Drosophila melanogaster: one gene and its partners. The protein of the gene in region 2 binds, or shares a complex with, the protein of the main gene of each other region. Each region holds a gene or a part of one and is shown on either strand. Other genes may lie near its edges. The genes, in order: wac, dgt4, dgt3 and dgt5.

Evidence for each region.
Region 1: dgt4 (region 2) and wac share a complex: the UniProt entries of both Drosophila melanogaster proteins name them as parts of the augmin complex.
Region 3: dgt4 (region 2) and dgt3 share a complex: the UniProt entries of both Drosophila melanogaster proteins name them as parts of the augmin complex.
Region 4: dgt4 (region 2) and dgt5 share a complex: the UniProt entries of both Drosophila melanogaster proteins name them as parts of the augmin complex.

The regions. Positions count from the first base shown.
Region 1 is NT_037436.4:256,571-259,597, reverse strand, and holds wac (wee augmin), read right to left. Parts: upstream 1,423-3,027; 5' UTR 1,207-1,422; coding exon 1,203-1,206; intron 1,193-1,202; exon of another isoform or gene 1,148-1,192; coding exon 835-1,147; intron 776-834; coding exon 601-775; 3' UTR 501-600; downstream 1-500. Other genes in the region: Tudor-SN (tudor staphylococcal nuclease), read left to right, coding at 1-95; DIP2 (DISCO interacting protein 2), read left to right, coding at 1,973-2,045, 2,397-2,468, 2,542-2,949, 3,005-3,027. UniProt on the Drosophila melanogaster protein: As part of the augmin complex, plays a role in centrosome-independent generation of spindle microtubules.
Region 2 is NC_004354.4:4,112,072-4,115,436, forward strand, and holds dgt4 (dim gamma-tubulin 4), read left to right. Parts: upstream 1-1,629; 5' UTR 1,630-1,864; intron 1,865-1,992; 5' UTR 1,993-2,156; coding exon 2,157-2,723; 3' UTR 2,724-2,857; downstream 2,858-3,365. Other genes in the region: Nsun2 (NOP2-Sun domain family, member 2), read right to left, coding at 1-1,396, 1,474-1,533; Tip60 (Tat interactive protein 60kDa), read right to left, coding at 2,858-2,858, 2,931-3,143, 3,249-3,365. UniProt on the Drosophila melanogaster protein: As part of the augmin complex, plays a role in centrosome-independent generation of spindle microtubules. The complex is required for mitotic spindle assembly through its involvement in localizing gamma-tubulin to spindle microtubules.
Region 3 is NT_033778.4:20,991,736-20,996,389, reverse strand, and holds dgt3 (dim gamma-tubulin 3), read left to right. Parts: upstream 1-2,008; 5' UTR 2,009-2,066; coding exon 2,067-2,084; intron 2,085-2,135; coding exon 2,136-2,464; intron 2,465-2,526; coding exon 2,527-2,889; intron 2,890-2,950; coding exon 2,951-3,616; intron 3,617-3,675; coding exon 3,676-3,853; intron 3,854-3,917; coding exon 3,918-4,061; 3' UTR 4,062-4,114; downstream 4,115-4,654. Other genes in the region: Prosalpha3 (proteasome alpha3 subunit), read right to left, coding at 359-944, 1,082-1,287, 1,397-1,399. UniProt on the Drosophila melanogaster protein: As part of the augmin complex, plays a role in centrosome-independent generation of spindle microtubules. The complex is required for mitotic spindle assembly through its involvement in localizing gamma-tubulin to spindle microtubules.
Region 4 is NT_033778.4:12,465,723-12,473,566, forward strand, and holds the start of dgt5 (dim gamma-tubulin 5), read right to left. Parts: upstream 6,054-7,844; 5' UTR 6,007-6,053; intron 6,001-6,006; exon of another isoform or gene 5,830-6,000; coding exon of another isoform or gene 4,222-5,829; intron 4,161-4,221; coding exon of another isoform or gene 3,190-4,160; intron 3,128-3,189; coding exon of another isoform or gene 3,031-3,127; exon of another isoform or gene 2,929-3,030; intron 2,471-2,928; 5' UTR 2,351-2,470; coding exon 2,256-2,350; intron 2,189-2,255; coding exon 1,911-2,188; intron 1,848-1,910; coding exon 623-1,847; intron 557-622; coding exon 369-556; intron 303-368; coding exon 31-302; 3' UTR 1-30. Other genes in the region: CG8545 (uncharacterized protein), read left to right, coding at 3,031-3,127, 3,190-4,160, 4,222-5,829; Nepl10 (Neprilysin-like 10), read left to right, coding at 6,193-7,844. UniProt on the Drosophila melanogaster protein: As part of the augmin complex, plays a role in centrosome-independent generation of spindle microtubules. The complex is required for mitotic spindle assembly through its involvement in localizing gamma-tubulin to spindle microtubules.

The DNA of each region.
Region 1 (3,027 bases), on a different chromosome or scaffold from region 2:
AGTACAAAGCCGCGCAGGAAGCAGCTCGGGTCGCGCATCTGGCCATCTGGAAGTACGGTGACATAACGCAAGATGATGCGCCCGAGTTCCGCTAAAAGATGCCCGGAAACGTGGAGTAGGCCTGTGGCGTGGAGCGCGTTGCTAGCCGAAAAGATTGTCTGCCACATACCCGCCCTTTATATACATAACAACAAGCAAGAACTTAAAGAATATGAAATTACTAATTCTATCTATACACCAATATATATGATACATATACCACATTGGAAATACACAAATACATACATATGAGCAATGGCATGGAAGAACACGGTACACTTTTTGTATGCTTTAAGCAGCTGGCAAATTATTATTTGGTCTTCTAGTTTTCCTATCATGATACTTTAAATAAATATTTGACACAACCTAGCAACAATTGGAACGTTTTTAAAATGCGTACAATAACCAAAATAAGTGCACCCTCTGATTGTGTAGTGTTCCAAGTTGTAAACCTCAACATTCATCTTTAAAATTTGCAGATTTTATGTTTTTGTAAAGTGTTTTGCATTACTGAGTAAATACAATTAAATAATTTTTTAAAAACGAAAGCAATTCACTTCTTTAGCGCTGCTCCAGCGAATCTACCTTCTCGATGACACTTTCAATGCTAAAATCCTTTGGGATCTTAAGGGTTTTTTGCCGGTCCAGTAAGGCCTGTTTTGTTGCAAGCTGTTGGGCGTTTCGCTGCATTACGACGATATCCGGGATGAGCCGCTCTTCCGCAGCAGCATTAAATCTGCAGAAGAATGGTTTTGGTCAGGGATTCAACTATTAAAGGGATTTGTTCACCAATACCTCTCCAACATAACTACGTCCCTAGTCGCCTCCTCGATGGACGAGAGGATGCGCTGCAGCTCTACGCGTTGCTGCACTGTGGTCTGCCGGTTTTCTATGCATTCCCTCTTCTTGGCACAATAGAAGTCGCGCAAGTAGTTCAGATTGATGTCGTGAATGTGCAAAAGTGAATAATATTGGGCGCATTTGTCAAGGAGCGCCAGGTCATCGTCCGAGAAATCGCCCAACTCGACGCTAGCCAGCTTTAACTGGTCATCGAAGTGCTGGCCTAGACGCATCAATGAATTGACTTCCTCTTGGATCTTCAAGTTCTCTGCATCATAAGAATAATTAGTTGTATGCCTAGCGTTTTTTTTAAATAAACTCACGCATTTTTACTGGAGATGACAAGCTATCGATGGTTCCGAAAAAGATACTACCGCTTTGCTCAAAACGCAGGCGTATAGGCAGCCGGCTTAGAAACAATTTAGACTAAGTTGGCAGGACTTTGCTTTTCTTCGCCACTAATCGTATCCAGGTTTCGCATGTCTTTGTCTTCGTAATCCGAATGTGATAATAGGCGCCTTAGGTGCAGATATCGATAGTCTCTACAGTATTTCAGGGCTACCTAGCAAAATGCCACCAATTGCTTTTGTTGAATCGAATTTTAAGAGACAAGCGATTAAAGTAATAAATAATAGAGCTTTTTAATTGTAATGGTTCTATGCCTAATATCATTAAAAATAACACTTAAATTCGTGGTTCGATTACTTGGGCAGTGTGACCGCATCTCGAAAATTGAAAAAGGCCGTTGTCCCAAGAGTATGAAGAAATAGTTATCAATTTTTCGCTAGTTCATAAAATCGATTTGTACTGCTATTTTTCTTTGTTTACTTTCATTGTGCAAATTCGTAAAAGACATTCGTAATATCGTGTTTTCTAACTAACCCAAAGTACTGGTGCTGCGCAAGTACGGATGTATTTATTTGCGTCGGCAAAATGTGAAATAGAATAAATGGCAAATCGATCGATTTTTGACAACGAAGTGGGAAAGTAGCGGTGTCTGGGTGTGTTTGTGTACTGCGACCAGCCAAAGTTTAGACGAATCCTCCAAGGAAGAGGATAGAACAAAACCCTAAAGCCACACTTTTCATCTGCCATGGAGCACACTGCCTCGCTGCCTGGCTACGTCCGCGAGAAGCTCGCCGAACTGGACTTAGAGCTGTCGGAAGGTATACCTATTTGAATAATACACACAAAAATAAAATATTGTTGTTAAAGTGCGGCGACTGAGTTGTAGAAAATCGCGTGAAAACTGTGGCAGACGTAGTCTGGTCTGATTCAAATCATTGGATACTTGTCGCCCCCAAATGGGATTACAAGTGCTGTTCTCGGCTTTTCTTTCGCTGAAAGCTGCCCACATATAGTCGGGGACCGACCAATTAAAAGAAAAGTGTGTGTGTTGTGTTGTGTGGCTTTCAGCATGAATACATGATTCAGTCGCTACTCCACGCTTTTCAAAAAACGACGAGGCCCAGCGGACATATTAATCGTTAAGAAAACAATTCCATCTGCTTTTCTAGGTGACATTACGCAGAAAGGCTACGAAAAGAAAAGGGCGAAGCTGTTGCAGCCGTTCCTAAAGAAGCCAGAAGGTATGTTCGAAAACATTGATATTTGGTCGTTTGGTCGTCACCAGAAAGTTCTTGATCCTTTTGTTGTGAACAGGCGATAAAGTGAAAAGTACGCCGCCACCGCCATACTACAACGTTAAAAATGCCAACAACAGCACCAACCACGGAAACATCAATAACGACGGCGTCATTGTGTCCAGCGAGGGCTACAGTTATGTGACTGAAGTGCCCTCCCTGTCCTCCTCGCAGCAAAGACATTCCAAAAAAATTGACTTCCATCAGCAAGCCGCCATGAGCTTGTCATCGGCACCACAGAGCGGAAATGCTGGGGCTCCTGGCTACGAAAATATGCGACCGCAGGGTGGAGCAGTCGGCGATCCCGGGTATCAGAACACTCGCGAACCAAGTGCTTTTCAGAACCAACAGTCAACTAATAATAGTCAGCATCGTCAACGACGCACACAGCGCAAAGTAACGCACAATGAGAAACGTTATCATTCTGGTTAGTAGAACAAGTTACAGCAACAACATTTTATCTCTGATCATCTGACCCCTAGAAGTACGACAAGAGGCTGTGCAA
Region 2 (3,365 bases):
CATGCAGACGTCGCTTCTTTCGCTGCGGTCCCCACGGAACGGACTTCTCCTCGATGGGCTTGCCATCCGCGTCCACTTGCGGCTCAGCTGCAGGCTGCTTGGCCGTCTCGTTCAGCTTTACCAGCTCCACCACATCGTTCTTTTCGAAGCTTAGCTGACGACGCTTCTCCAACACGGCTACAAAGAAGCCGCCGCTGTCCTGGAGATGCGGCAATACGCGGAGGCACTTCTCCAACCCGATCTTGGCCATCTCGTCGGCCGGCAGAGGGAACATACCGGGCCGTATTATAGTGTGCAGGCTTTCAGGCACTTCCTCAAAGCGGGTAAAGATCTGGTCCACCTCCTTGGTGGCCAGCTTCCAGTCGGTCATGCCGGGCTTGTACTTAAGACCTGGCACCAAGTGCCCCGCATCCACCAGCTCCAATGCACCGTCGGCATCCTTTATGATCCGCTGCAGCACCGCCTCGTTCTCGATGGGATTCAGTGAGCAGGTGGAGTACACCAGCCTTCCGCCAACCTCCAGCATCTCAGCGCCACGACGTACGATGCGGTATTGAATGCCGTGGAGGTTGTAGGCCTGTGCCAGGTTCCACTTCAGCCAAATGTCTGGATTCTTGCGCAGTGTGCCGTCGCCGGAGCAAGGTACATCGCACAAGATCTTATCGAACTTAAGGATCGCCTTTGAGCCGTCCGGCTTCGTGGTCACGAGATTGGGAAAGACACTGCTGTCGTGGTTGGTCACCAACAGGCAGGGCGAGTTTAGACGCTTGGCTTGGTGAACCAGCATGTAGCACCGATTGTTGTCTACATCGTTGGCCAGCACAAAGCCGGGCGGAATCTTGTGCTCCTCGGGAGCAGCGTGCAGAGCCTCAATGAGCTGGGCTGTCTTCGAACCTGGCGCAGCACACATGTCCAAAACTTTGTCCGTGGGTCGGACATCCAGGACAATTGGCGGGATCATGGATACGGCCTCCTGCCTGCTGATGCCGCCCGCCGTGGTCTCCACAATTAGGAAGTTGTGCAGCCGGTAGAGCGGCTCCGAGCGTCGAATGTCCTTGCGGGTAAGGTGCAGCTGGTAGGCCAGTCCGTTTGGATACCACGGCAGGCACAGCGGACGTTCCACATCCTCGGGCGCCTTCTGGTGCAGCTCGGCCACCGCCCTCACATACTCGGTGAATAGCTGCGTCTCAATAATGGATAGCAGGGCTTTGGCCTCGTCCTTGAATCCTGTCACACGGAAAGTAGTGGGCAGATTGTCCCTGATGGAAGCAAGGAACTGCGTCCACTCCTCATCGGTGGCGCAGATCTTCTGCAGTTGGTAGTACTTGATGAAGAAGGCATTATCCCTTTTGATCTCCTCATACGGCTGGGCCTGACGATCGGTGCGCTTGGGACCCTTTAAGATAAAAAATATATTTAAGAATAAAATCCAAAAACGTGGAATGTTTCTCCTTTCAAATTGAGGTGACTCACATTCTCCCGCTTTTGACGTTTGCGAGCCGCGAAAAAATTTTGCTTCTGGTTTCGACCCATTTGTCAATATCAATACCAAGTTATCAGTCCACTGAATATGTTTAAAAAAAATTAGGCAAGCGTTGTGTGTTTTCTAAACGAAACGAATAGTTAAAACGTGTTCGTCGCCTAACTGGCAACGCTGTCGCGCGAGAGTCGCCGGACATTTGGTGCTTGGAAGGGAAGGTGAAATATGCTGCTAAAGAAGTGAAATTGAATTGAAAGGGAATTACTTTTTACAGTACTTGGTTTCCGTGCTGCAAGGAATTGACTTGTTTTTAAACGTTAACTTCATTTGCATGGCTTACATTTTTAGCCCCAAAATCAATAAGAGCTGGTTTCCCAACTATCGGTAAGCAAAATCAAACAACTTATTTCAGTTTTCTAGAAACTTTAAAAACCTGTTAGTTTATGTAAGGAAACCTACATATCTTGTTGTTATTTACATTTTCGAATTATTTTCATTTTTTTTTTATATAGTTATTAATAGCCAAATTTGACTCGAACATAGCTACGCGCCTATCGTTACAAAAATCTCCGTTAGCCGACTTCAAATGCTACCGATAGCAGCTGCGAAAGCGATAGCGTCGGCAATCGAATCCGAATTTCCCACTTTAAAAACTAAGAAGTTTTTGTAAGCCACTATGGAAACTCCACCCACTCCCACCACGACCACACCGCCATCATTGACAACTGAGGGCACCATGGACGACATCCAATACCTGCTGCACCTGGAGGCGATGCGCCGTTTTCAGGAAGACAGCCGCAATGTAAAGCGCCAGGTGGAGGAGCAAGTACGCATTTGGCTGGACGCCAAGTGTGAGTATCAGCGGGACTTTGGGCGGCTGGCGAGGCTCCTGAAGTGCGGAGCCCTGCAGGCGGCCGTGGATGCCCATCGTGTATCTGATGTGAATCAAGTCGACCAGGCGGCCAAGGATATCGCTAGTTTGCGATCCAAACTGGGCAGTGATCTGCGTCCCGCCATTCTGGACTCCAACGATGTGAAGCAGTGCCTGGAACATCTGAACACCACCCACAAACCGCGCCTAAATCTATGCCGGCAACAACGGGAGTTCGCCCAGAACCAAGAAGCTCTAAGAAGTTTGCGTACCGCCGTCGATGGATTGGAGAATGGTATGGAGATGGGCATGATACAGGCAATGGACCGCCTTGTGGAGGATCTTCTCCCACCGCGGGAAACAAACAACTAGCCGGTCGTCTCAAAAGTATATATAATATTGTATGATATAAACTAGTTTATAACATTAAAAACGGAAACTGTAAATGAAAACTACAAGCTACAACGAAGCCAGGATCATCCGATGAAGAATATTGGTAGCGGAAATCTAAAAACAAAAAAAAACGGATTCAAAGCTGTTTAAACTCAGTTATTTATACGGAGAAGATGAGGAGATTACCATTTGGAGCGCTTGGACCAGTCTTTGGGTGTCCAGTGCAGGCATTTCGAGTCGATGCGGATCTTGCGCTTGTCCATTGCTCGCCGGTGTTGCTCGATGATAACCCGGTTGATGCACACGATGTACTGGCCCTTGTAGTAGTTGATCAGGTTCAGGTTCTGCAGCGTTGAGATCACGTCCTCTTTTTTGATGGATGTGCATTCGCAGATGTCGCTGTGAAGAAAAATTTTGGGAGCATGATTAATCTATGTTTCGGCAATGAAGCACAATCTCTGTGGATTGAAAATTGTATTACTTTAAGCTTAGAACTAGCCATACTTTATAGTTATAGTGGGCTTTTCGCCGTCCGTGCTCGGGTTTTGGCTGATAAAGATCTCCAGTATGGTTTGCGCCCAGTACGATCGATAGGACAGCAAACCCAGATCAGACAATGGT
Region 3 (4,654 bases), on a different chromosome or scaffold from region 2:
GTATTCACCACGCGTTTTGCGCGCACTCTCCAATTACGCATAAGCCCCTTTGCAGAAACCGATTAACCGTTAGTTTAGCAAGTATAATTGAATTTTTTATAACAGCAACAGCAAATAAAAAGCGACGGAATTTTTCTCAAAATGTTTTGTACGGTATTTTTTTAGTGACTGCCCGTCGCTGGCCATATTTAGCAGCTCTTCGCTGCGAATGGCAATGGCACTGTTATCGATTAATCGGCCATCCCTATTGGCACAATGATAGTGGGTTTTTGTTTTTTGAAATTTTATTTCACACACTCCGTACATCGGTTACAAAAATCAGGATAGACCCTTAATCAATAATAATGCATCCTTGGGATTACTTGGTCGGCTGCTTCGCTTGCTTCTCCTTCTTGGCAGCCTCGGCCTCCGCCTGTACCTTTGTGTACTTCTCGATCAGCTTCTCCACATCGGGTTTCTCCAGGACACTGTATACGGTCTTATTGTCCACACGCTGCAGCGTGGCCATCTCGACCTTCTCCGGGGTCAGCTTGGTGGTGTCCAGGGTCATGCTCAGTACCTTGATGGCCAAATCCTTGGCGTCCGCCAGCGTCAGCTTCACGTTCTCCTTATCGGCCAGCTCCTGCTTCAGCATGGAGATCGCGGCACCGAAGTTGTTGCCAATACAGGTGGCCTTCCATCCGCCGTAGTTGCCGCTGGGATCCGACTGGTACAGTTGGTAGCCGTACTTGTTGTCCCATCCCATGTAGAGCAGCGAGACGCCGAAGGGACGCTTTCCGCCGTACTGAGTGTACGCCTGTTTGATGTCGCAGAGGTGCGACACCAGCTGCTCGCAGGGAATCACCTCGCCGTAGCTGAACTGGTAACGCTGGGCAATCAGACGCAGTTCTGAGGTCAGCACATTGGCATCGGAGGTGATGCCAGCCACCGAGCAGACCATGTTGCTGAGGGAAAACAAAGAGGCTTGGATAGAGATAGATTCGTAGAGAATGTAGTGGGTAATTAAGATCATGGCCAGTTAAATATATGGCCTGTGACCCTTGAATTCATCGTAGGATATACTACTGAAATTTCAACTCACTCGTTCAGGCGATAGATCTTCTCCGAAGGAATGGCGCTGTCCAGCAATTTGTTTGTGCTGCGGCACTCGGCTGCCAACAGGATGCCGTCCTCGGCGAGGATTCCGAGGCAGGTTCCGGCGTGCGAGATGGCCTCCATGGCGTACTCCACCTGGTACAAACGGCCCTCCGGCGAGAAGATCGTGGTGCGGGAATCATAGCGGCGAGCCTGGGAAAATACACGCAAGTCAATTACTACCACGATTGCTAGCCTTCAATGGTCATCGGCCCAATGGTGGCTCTCAGACCAATACCGGTCTTCTGGGCGCGGTACTTACCATTGCTAAGGAATATACCAATTTACAAGTTTATTTTGCAAAACGAACAGAATTTACTTGTCATTCAGTGTAGGGTTGCCAGACTGCCACACGAAGTGCGTCCAAAGCGGTACCAGGGCTGCAAACTAGATGGCGTTAGGGTGTTTCTATTTACCAGGGGTGGTGTGCACGTTTATCCACATATCGATATAAGGTATTAAAATCATTTTAACAAAGATCAATTTATAAGCCCTTTAAGATTGAGGTGTACTAAAACATAATATTTACTTGAATTAAACTTAAGAACTTGTGTCAAATTTAGAAAAATTGTATCCTTACTTCATAGCAAAAATTTAAAATAATTCATATATAAAATATATATATATAATAAACAGAAATTTATTATATATATATATATATATATATATATATTATATATATTATATATATATATATATATATATATATATATTATATATATTATATATATATATATTTAACAGAAATAGATAAGAGTAAATATTTCATGAAATCGTTGATAGGAAATCAGGAATTTCTACGATTTTTATTAAGCTTAATTATTAAGCACTATTTCCTGTTAATTTTCAAAAGGTACCATCTCTAGTAACGTCTCTGAAACCTTTCGATATAACCGATAAGTAATCAGCTTGTGTTGTCATTTTTTTAAAAGATGGGCGATCTGCTGAGCGTATGTGTGATGATTTAATTAATGATCAGCTTATAATCGCCATGATTGCAGAACTCGGAATTCTTCAAGAAGCTGGGAGTGGACAGCTCGAACCAGTGGATTCTGTACGATGAGCAGATGGAGATGTTCTTCAAGTTCCTGTCCGGGAACATCACGGATGCAAATATCCTCACAGAGCGACAGGTTCTGGAGCGGGAGGAGATGCAGCGGCGGGGCGAGTGGCTAAGTGCTTCGGATCGCGAGCTCAAGCTCCTGCAAATCGAGGCCGAAAGTCCGGGGCTTCTCAACTACAAGCAGCAGGATGTCGACGCCTTGACCATGAGCATTGAGGCGATCGAAGATGCCTCAAGGGATTATGCTACGCTTCTGGAAGATATGATGTAAGGGAAAAACTGTAACCTTCCTCATATATGTTCGATCGATGGTCAATCCACTTTTGCAGGACCACAAAGCACTCGATAACTAAGCACCTAGGCGAGGTGGAGTGCGTCACCGCCGAGTTGCAACTGAGGGAGAAGGATCTGATAGCCGAGTGCCAGTCCAAAGCCAAGCAACTGGAGGAACTGCAGCAGGAGAACTGCCGGCTAAGCGCCGAAGCCAAAAAGGCATTCACCGCCCCACAGTTGCCGCCTCTATTCATGCATCAACTGCCATTGGAGCAGTATTTCCACAAATGCGATTCATTTATGCAATACTTTACTCTGTATGTGAAGGAGAATTTTAAGATCCAGGACTATGATGAGTTCCAGAGCGCGGAGGAAGATCTTGGGCGCGAAAAGGCCAAGCTGGAGGACTTGGAACGTGGGTAAGCACAAAGGTTCTGTGCTAAAAACAATGCACATTAATTGATATGACCGTTTTTACAGCATCCAGTTTTATGCACTATCCTACATAAGAACAAAGGCCAAGGTGAAGGCCACGCAGTGTCTTATTGACCAGTTGGATCTTGGCAAGATTCACTGCCTCAGTTTAACGGACATGGCGCGTGAAATGCACGATCTGCAGCTGCTCAACGACTATCAACTGAGCAATACACACGATACGCTTTTAAACGATCTAACCATTCACATTCAGCAGCACACCCAGCGACGTATTGAGCTGGTTCTCTACGAGAACACTAAACTGAAGTTGGAAAGAGCTGTTCGACGTCATGAAAGCGACAAGAAGCTCACTAAAATCATCTCAGATGCTCTGTCCAATGCGGAATTGCTGTGGATTGCGATCCAACTGGACTGCGACAAGAAGCGCAACTGCCTGGACACTTCGGAGGAGTTGCGCGACCAAGCGCAGGCCACTTGGCAAAGAATCCAGACCATGCGCTCCATTAACGCCAGTTATCAGGGCATTTGTGCCCAGTTTGTGCAGGAGATTGCCAATTTGTTGTCAGCCCACTTGGGACAGAACATAAAGGCAACTGAGGCCAAGGCTTGTCTCTTCGAATACGAAAAGTTCGGTCGCCTGCTGTCTTACTCCTTTCAGAGCATGCTGAACCGAAAGTCGTGTGCTGCTGTTCAGGATCAACTGGCAGAACTGTAAGTTGCAATACTTAACTTTGATACAGATCGTTTAAGCTATTAATATTTTTTTTTAGCAAGCGCTTGGAGCAGACTTTGCGGCCGTTTGTCTATGATTCCCCATTGGAGCAGCCCATGTTTGAGAACGTTCGCTACTTGAGCGCCATATACAATGTCACCCAGCAGCAAACTCGCCTGGATGAGTCAGGGCGTTCCTTGCGAAAAGATTTCCTGGAAAATGTCGTGGGGCGCATTGTAAGTATACTAATTAACTATAAAATCATGGAATATAACATTTTAATGTTGTTTATCCTTTTAGGAGCGGGATAAACTGTATCGCTATAGCGTAGTCCTGTGGATTTGGTTTCTCACTGAGCCGCAGCGCATGATGCATGCAATTGATGAGGTCAAAAAGGCAGCCGCTGCAGTAATTCGTCCAGGTGGTGGTCTGCACCGCAAGTGAACTTAGTTGATTTAGAATCTGGTCAGTAAATAAATGTTAAATTATTCAAAAATAAACATTACGGCGTTGCTAGTCTAATAATAAGTCAATACACTAAATTTAGGGATGCTGTATAATGTGTGTATGTAAAGATTCTTAGGCAGCAACATGATTTACTTTTGCTTACGACTTTGGTAATTGTTTTCCCCCCTTTGAAATGCCTTTTCCCTGGGCTATCAGATTTGGGTTCACTAAACACCGGGCGTATTAAGGCAGCATCGTCTTAAAGCAGTCTACACGAGTGCCACCAAAGAGACGCATTAATTGCTGGCGGCACGCGACGGCGTTTCCAAGCGATTACCATTCAGATTTGGCCAAGGAGCAACAAGTGAGGCCATAAAACCTTGTTCGCCTAACCTAGAGATTCACTTTCCGTGCAGACGAAGTCATTTGCCCGCCGATTTGCAGGACTCTCATTGGCTGCCGGCATTCGGGCTGCAGGACGAGTTTTGCCGAGCAGAGGTCCTTGCGGATATAAAAGGACCAACAGTTGTGGCCACTGGTTCACTCGATTATCGTGCTTCGGGCCATCTTTCCCCTCGTGACTTCCGGTA
Region 4 (7,844 bases), on a different chromosome or scaffold from region 2:
GCTACAGTATTCACAACACAAATAACGTACTTAATTAGGTGGCGCTCGCATCGAACTTCCATTGGTGGTCATGCGATAGTAGAGATTGAATTCGGACTCGTAGTCCGCGAAACTGCCATTGTTGTATCGTTTACTGGGTGGAACGTAGCGTCGCAATGGATTCTCAAGCAGGAACTGATAGATGCGCTCGGCCTTTTCCAGCTGCAACTGAGTCTTCACCCCAATGGCCATCAGGTTGTCCAGCAATTGGTCAATTTCCTCGTGCTGACGACTCGCCTTCAGTCTCAAATCGTGCGGATCAACTGGGGAGCAGGGTGATACGTTTTCTATCAGACGGATATGAGACAAAATGTCGGAATCGAGCTTACCAATTAACGGCTGCAAATTCAATTTCAACTCAGACGTGTGTGCGGCAATTGCTGACGCCCACAAAATGCGTTTTCGGACTTCCTGCAGAGCGCCGAAGGGTGTTAGCAAATAGCCTGGTGCCAGTTGAACGGTGGAGGCCAACTCCTGGGCCTCGACGATGAGTGGATTGGCCGACAACAGGAAGGAGCTGTCGGAAAAAACATGAACTCTGGATTAATTGGAAATAGCACATTCAGCTAAAGTATGCTCTCACCAGGCGCGCGGCGTACAGCTAAATTTTTCCAGCGGTATTTCCAAAAATGTATTGAATTCCAGCAAATGCGATGGTAGCGTGGCTCCGGATGCAGCCATCAGTGTGGTAGATGCTGCTCCGCCCGGCACTAGCGTTTTGTTGTCAAAACTGCGACGCATCGTTGAGTTTATTGCGCTGCAGTTGCCATCGAACTCCACCTTGGTGCTGGAGAACACACTATCATTGGCCAGGCAAAAACTCTCCGCACCCAACATGGACATATTGCTGACTTTTAGCTTAGTGCTCATCAGCTGGGACTTGGCGTTTTGTTTCTGTGTGGCCGCTTGCATATCGTCCAGCAGGTTCTTCATCATATTTCGCGAAAACAGGATCTTCTCCTTGATCTGTGACAGCTGCACCATATCTTGCTGGATGCGATTGATGCTGGAGTTAATGTCGCCGTATACTTGTTTCACAGAGCCTAGCTTTAGATCGTGATTCTCCAGCTGCTTGGCGCCCGCATCTAGCTCCAGACGCAGTTGCTCAATCTGCTCACGAAGGAATTCGTTTTGGGAGCGATTAAAATTGCGCATGTTGTACTGCACCAGATAGTCGCTAATCAGTTCATCCGCATTTTCCTCGTCGCCCAAACTTATGCCATTAAATCTGTATACCTTTGATTGCAGTTTGTCCACAAAGACGCTGTAGTCTTGGCAAAAGCGTTCCTCCTTCAGTTCCAGCTCCTTTTGGGCCGCGAAATATTTGGCCGCCAGACCCAGCATATCGGCCTTGGTCTTTAGTAACTTGACCTCATAGTTATTCAGCGGTGGCTTATCATTTGTGCATTCGCCTCTGGATTCATTCAGCTTCATGATGTGCTGCAGCTGCTCCTCTTTGATCTTCATTACCACGTTCAGAAGCAGGGAGTTGGGAATATCCGCAAAGGTGCTCCGCATCTGATCCCATAATCGCTGCTTGGCCTCGGCTAAATTGTTCACCGCATTGCCATCGTCACACATTCCATAGAAGGTCTCCAGCTGCTTGAGAGCCTGCTCCACAGCCCTTGTTGCCTGCGCCTCGCTGGCATTTCTAGCACTCAGCTTCACGGGCGTGGTGCCCAAGATTTGGATCTTGTTCTTCAACTCCTGGTCGTAGTTCTTATTCAGCGACTCCAGCTTCAGGTCAAGGATATTGCATTTGGATTCAAGTAGTTGCTTCCGGTTCTCAGCACTGATGGTTTGAATGTCTGTATGGGATTCACCGCATTAAATTGACGTCAAGGTTATCAGTATGTTCACTTTATACCCACTCTTGGTCTTGATGCCGGCAGATAGCTTTTGGTACTCTTTTCGGGCCTCCGTAAGCTGTTGGTTCGCCTTCTCCTTGTGCTTCTTTAGCTCCTGTATTTTTTGGTACCTCTGGAGCTCCGGTGGCTGGAAACTCCTAGAGGCCAGCGGCACCATTTTGTCCTTGTAGCGAGCCACTTGGGCAATCAGCAGGTTCTCGCGCACCTCCCGCACGTAATCCACCGGCTGGATGCGGGATTGCAGCTGGTTCAAAAGTAAACTGGAGCCGGACTTAAAAATTCTGTGAAGCAAAAAGCGGGTTTTAAGTACGGATAGTTGCCGATTTGCCTAACACAGCTGTAACTTACCTTCGGAGTGCATCATCGGTGGGCAGGGCAGTGGGCGGGCAGCCAAGATTAGTGGCCCAGTTCTTAAATTCTGTTATTTTCTCCTGGTATGCCATGATTTGCAACTAATTAAATTTTTCGCAAAAAGGCGCAGTCGTTTGAACCAGCCATTCACCAACACAATCAAATATGGCAGGGTTGTCAACAAACTACTATTCGCATCAAGTTGGCAGCAACTATAACGGTTATTTAAATTAATTTTTCATTTTAAATTACAACTAAAGATCATATCTAATTATTGAATGGATATAATACTTACTTATAAGCAAGAATTCTGTTAATTAGATATATTCCAGATTTTTTTTATTTATGATATTTTTGGATTTACCAATTAGTTTACCAACTCGTTTTTATAGTGCTGAGAAATACGTTTGCTGCTAAACAGCTGGGAGAGCAAGTAGCTAAAATATCTTAATTAAAAAGTTCCACGTGTTTTCCAAATATATATACTAACGTAATCTGTATAAATAAACTGTGTAAGAATCAAGCAAAGTCCGACAAAATAAAATTTAAAGTAATATATAATTTTATTAGTTATTAATATATGTTGAAAAAAAAACATTGTTCATAGCTAGTTAAAAGCTGAAAAGTTGACAGCACTGGCTCAAGCAATTCCCTCTGACCAGTGCTGGAAAACACTCGCTGTCTTTTGAGCGGCGCACGTGGAGCAAAATCGAAGTGCTCACGTTTTTTTTTAAGTTCTGCTCCAAGAAACTGGATAAACTAAGTTAAAAATATGGGTCGGAAGGCTGAATACAGTGAGAAACCGAAAAAGGGACCTGGGCGCAAGGCGCGCAAGCAAGGACCGCCTGTTTTTCGCAAACAATCGTTTGGTGAGAGCTCCTGAATATTACCCTATTCAATGGGTGTTCAATTCAAATGTTTTACTTCACAGCTCCCATGGAAGAGGAGGACAAGAAGCTTTCCCACCGACAGAAGCAGAGGTTCGTTAAGCGAGAGCAAAAGAAAGTAGTCCAGAAGGCCAAACTACAGGAGAAGAGGGCCAAGGGAAAGTTACCACAACCGGCTAAGCGGAAGACGGCCTACAACAGCGACAGCGATCCTGAGGATAATGAAGAGGAACCACAGGTTGCATCCTCCGATGAGGAGGTGCCTCAACTGGTGCCGGCTCCGAAGGGCCAGAAAGCTACAGCTCCCAAGGGTTTTACAGATGATAATGATGCCTGGCTGAAGCCCAAGAAGCAACAGAAGCAGCCAGAAACGGAGTCCGAGGAGGAGGAGGAGGAGGATGAGGAGTCGGAGGAGGACTCCGAAGATGAGTTGGGAGAAGAATGTGAAGAGGAAGAGGAGGGAGACGATGAGGAAGGATTGGAATCTGATGATGATACCGCTCAGGTTGGCAAGCTGGCCGATCTATCCGACGATGATGATGCCAACTCCGACGATGACTTTGACATATCTGGCGAGGAAGATGGTGCTCAGGCAGACAGTGATGAAGAGGAGGATGAGGACGACGACGATGATGATGATGATGATGATGATGACAAGCTGCCCATCGAGCGGGCTAACAAGAAGTTGAAAAAGCGCGAGGCAGAGGAAGCCCAACTGGCCGACGACGAAATGTTGGAAACCGTTGACAAGCAGGATGTTTTCCAGCTACCCGTCGAAGGCGAAGAAACCGAGAAGGACCTAACCCTGCAGGAAGTGCAACAGCGCATAAAGGACGTCAGTCTGGTTCTTTCCGACTTCAAAAGGTATCGTCAAGCGGATAGGTCTCGCGGGGAGTACATCGATTTGCTGCGCAGGGATCTGTGTTTGTATTACAGCTACAACGAATTTTTGATGGAGAAGCTGATGGATATGTTGCCGCTGACAGAGCTAATGGAATATCTGGAGGCCTCAGAGGTTAGTATATTTCATAAAAAATATAGTTACAAGATTAATCATTAAAAATTAACCCCTTTAGATTGCTCGTCCCCTAACCATACGCACCAATACTCTAAAAACACGTCGTAGGGATTTGGCCGGAGCTCTGATCAATCGTGGCGTCAACTTGGATCCCCTTGGTAAATGGACGAAAGTTGGATTGGTTGTCTTTAACTCACAGGTGCCACTGGGTGCAACTCCAGAGTATCTGGCTGGCCACTACATGATCCAGGGCGCCTCTTCGCTGTTGCCTGTAATGGCACTCGCCCCGCAAGAGAACGAACGCATCCTGGACATGTGCTCCGCCCCAGGTGGAAAGGGATCCCACATCGCAAGCATCATGAAGAACACTGGTGTGCTCTTCGCCAACGATTCTAACAGGGATCGCATCAAGGCCATTGTTGCCAATTTCCATCGCCTGGGAATTGTAAATGCAGTGGTCAGCTGCGAGGATGGCACTAAGTTCCGGAATATTATGACTGGCTTTGACCGTGTCCTGCTGGATGCTCCGTGCACTGGAACTGGCGTCGTCTCTAAGGATCCCAGTGTGAAGACCACCAAGTCGGAAGTAGATGTACAAAGGTGCTACAACCTGCAGAGGAAGCTTCTGCTGACTGCCATAGATTGTACGGATGCGAAGTCATCAACTGGCGGCTACATTGTATACTCAACTTGTTCGGTGTTGCCCGAGGAGAACGAATGGGTCATCGACTATGCACTGAAGAAGCGAAATGTCAAACTTGTGCCCACTGGTCTGGACTTCGGCGTGGAGGGCTTTACCAAATTCCGTCAGCATCGGTTCCATCCTAGCTTAAACCTTACCAAGCGCTACTATCCGCACACCCACAACATGGACGGGTTCTACGTGGCCAAGCTCAAGAAATTCTCCAACACCATACCCATAACTAAGGAGCAGCAGGAGGAGGATGAAAAGCAGCTGGATGAGGCCATCGAAGCGGACGCCACTACAGAAGCGGCTGCGGAGTCTGAGGAGGTGGAGGAGGAGGTAGCGTCAAAGGAGAAGGGTCCCCGAAAACTGCTTGGAAAGCGCGCCGGAAAACCCAGTTTCACCGAAATCGAACAGGAACTGAAGAAAAAGAAGCGGGAAGAGAGCAAGACCAAGTATGTGGCCAAGGTGTTTGAGCAGCCTGTCAAAAAGCCAAAGCCAGAAAAGCCAGCAGAGAAGAAAAATGAGAAATCCCAGGCACCGGACAAGCAAACAAATTCAAGCGAGTCACCTTCCAAGTCTGCACCTAAACAAAAACAAACCAATGGGAAAACCACTGTTTCCAATTCAGATGCGAAATCATTCAATAAAAAGAACAAAGGATCGCAACCCAAGGAAAATGGAGCCGGATCACCAGCTAAACCAGATGACAATAAGCCAACAACCAATGGCACAAACTCCCCTAGCAAATCAGCAATTAAGGAAACGAAAACGAAGCCACAGCCGAAAGGAAAACAGTCGCCCAAGGGAAACGCCAAACTGGCCAAGGCGCCGCGAGTGGATATCGACGATGTGCCCATTCTCGAGGGAAAACCCATCAAGAAGCAGAACAAGCTGAAGCAAAAATCCAAACAGATCGGCCAGCTGAAAAAGTCCACGGCGGGTGCGAATGCGGGAAAGAAGCAAAAGTTCAAGAAGTGAACACCTTAGATCCAGTTTTGTTAAGTAGACTATAAGCGTGTGACATATAGTTGGGGTAGTCCCGACGCGATTACCAATTTTATATTGCGAACTGTCTTAGCGAACGATTGAAGATTGAACTACAACAGCGGTGTAATTAAGATTCAATAAACGTTAAGATCGGTTTAATGTACTCACCAAGCGGGTTTATATAGGTGGCAGGCACATTTCATTAGAGGTAATTGCTCTACATTTCAAATGTGAATTCTAGTATTGACCAAGCTGTCACTATCAGCCCCAAAGCTCTATAGGTAGTTCGAAGGTGGCCGAGCTCAGCAGAGCGTTGCGATAATCTGTTGTTTCATTGTGAATCGAGCGAGCTTAATGGGATGTTTACTTTTACTGTGCTCTTGCCTGGTGGCATTATTCATTCCCATCCAGGCAATAGTGGACATCAACGTGGCAACGTCGAACGATATTCACAATAATCTCAATAGAACAACATCACCGTGCACGAATTTCTGGAATTTTGCCTGCGGTCGCTTCTCCAGTGCCTCTAAATATGTGGACAACTTTGAGCGAGTCGAGGATCAGTTCGCCACTGCCATGGTGGAATTCATGGAGAGCCACTTGGGTGAAAACGATACACTGGCACCCCGACTGATAAAGCAAATGCGACAATACTACAAGGCCTGCAAGGAGGATACGCGAAAGCTTCACGGGAATCCTCGTCCCGAAGAACTGGTCAATCAGTGGATTTTGCATCCTAAAAAATTTCTCGTATACGGCTTGAATGGTGTATTCATTGATGAGCGAGTTGATGTGGCCGCCAATGATTCCATGCGTTGGGTTATTCAGTTAAGGATGCCTGACCCGGCTGATAGATATAGTGACCGCCGTGTCTTGCAGCTCATGCGCCTTTACGAAGAAGCGTGGTACTCGATGGGAGTGGTTAAACTGGTGGAGAAAATGCATCAGCTGCAGGATAAGTATCGTGCAGAATATCCTGTTGTATATACATGGAGTTTCAGTGAATTAAGGCAGGAAATCCCTATTCCGCATTCCTTTTTTATTGAGTTATTGGGCGTGAACCACACCGAGGAGCTTTATCACCTGACTTTCGAGGTGAGTGATGTTGAGTATTTGCGGGAATGTTTTCGCTGTCTACGGGATTTCGCCAGTGAGCCGAAGGACACGTACATTCGAGCACGCCAATATGTTTTAGTGGAGGAGTCGGAGCCAAGGGAGCGGAATCCAAGAAGCTGCATTCACCATATGCGTGCCTATTTACCCCTGGGCATGAACTACATCTATGATCGATTTATATACCAAAACCGGGAGGAGGATACCAGTAAGGTACTGGAGATTTTATCCACTTTAAAGGCAGCTTTTGGCCAATATTTAGATGCCAATCGCCTGCAGCTTACGCCAAACCAGTTGGCCTATGTAAGAGCAAAGTTGGAAGGTATTCAGATCAAAATAGGAAATTTGCCTGAGGAGAAATCTCCTGAGTTCTATAATAACCACTATGGAAGTGCGAACTTTTCCGCGACAAACTTCCTGGCCAATCTCCTTGAAGCATTTGCCCTACGTACCCGTCTCCAGAATGCTGGACTGCTTGCAAGGAATTCTCGAGTGGATCTGCGGCACTATTATGTCAACGATAACGTAAGGAAGGCTCGCACTTCTCCCTTCTATGAGAACGAAAGGAACACCATTACTGTTCCCATGGAATTTTTGCAGTGGCCCTTGTTCGATCACCGAGAGCACACCATCTTCCAGCACAGTCTTCTGGGCGCAGTCCTGGGCCACGAGATGAACCACGCCTTTGAACAGGAAGGTATACTCTTCGATGCAGCTGGAAATGAGTCACCTGTGGGCTTGGAGATCCGGGAGTCGAAGCCTTTTCGGGATGCCATCAAGTGTGCGGAGGAGCAACCATTCGTCTCGCTGAAAGAACGCCTGGCAGATCTCAATGGCCTGCAACTGGCGTACGATGCCTTCTTTGGCTTGGCCCACGACTCACGGCAGTTCGA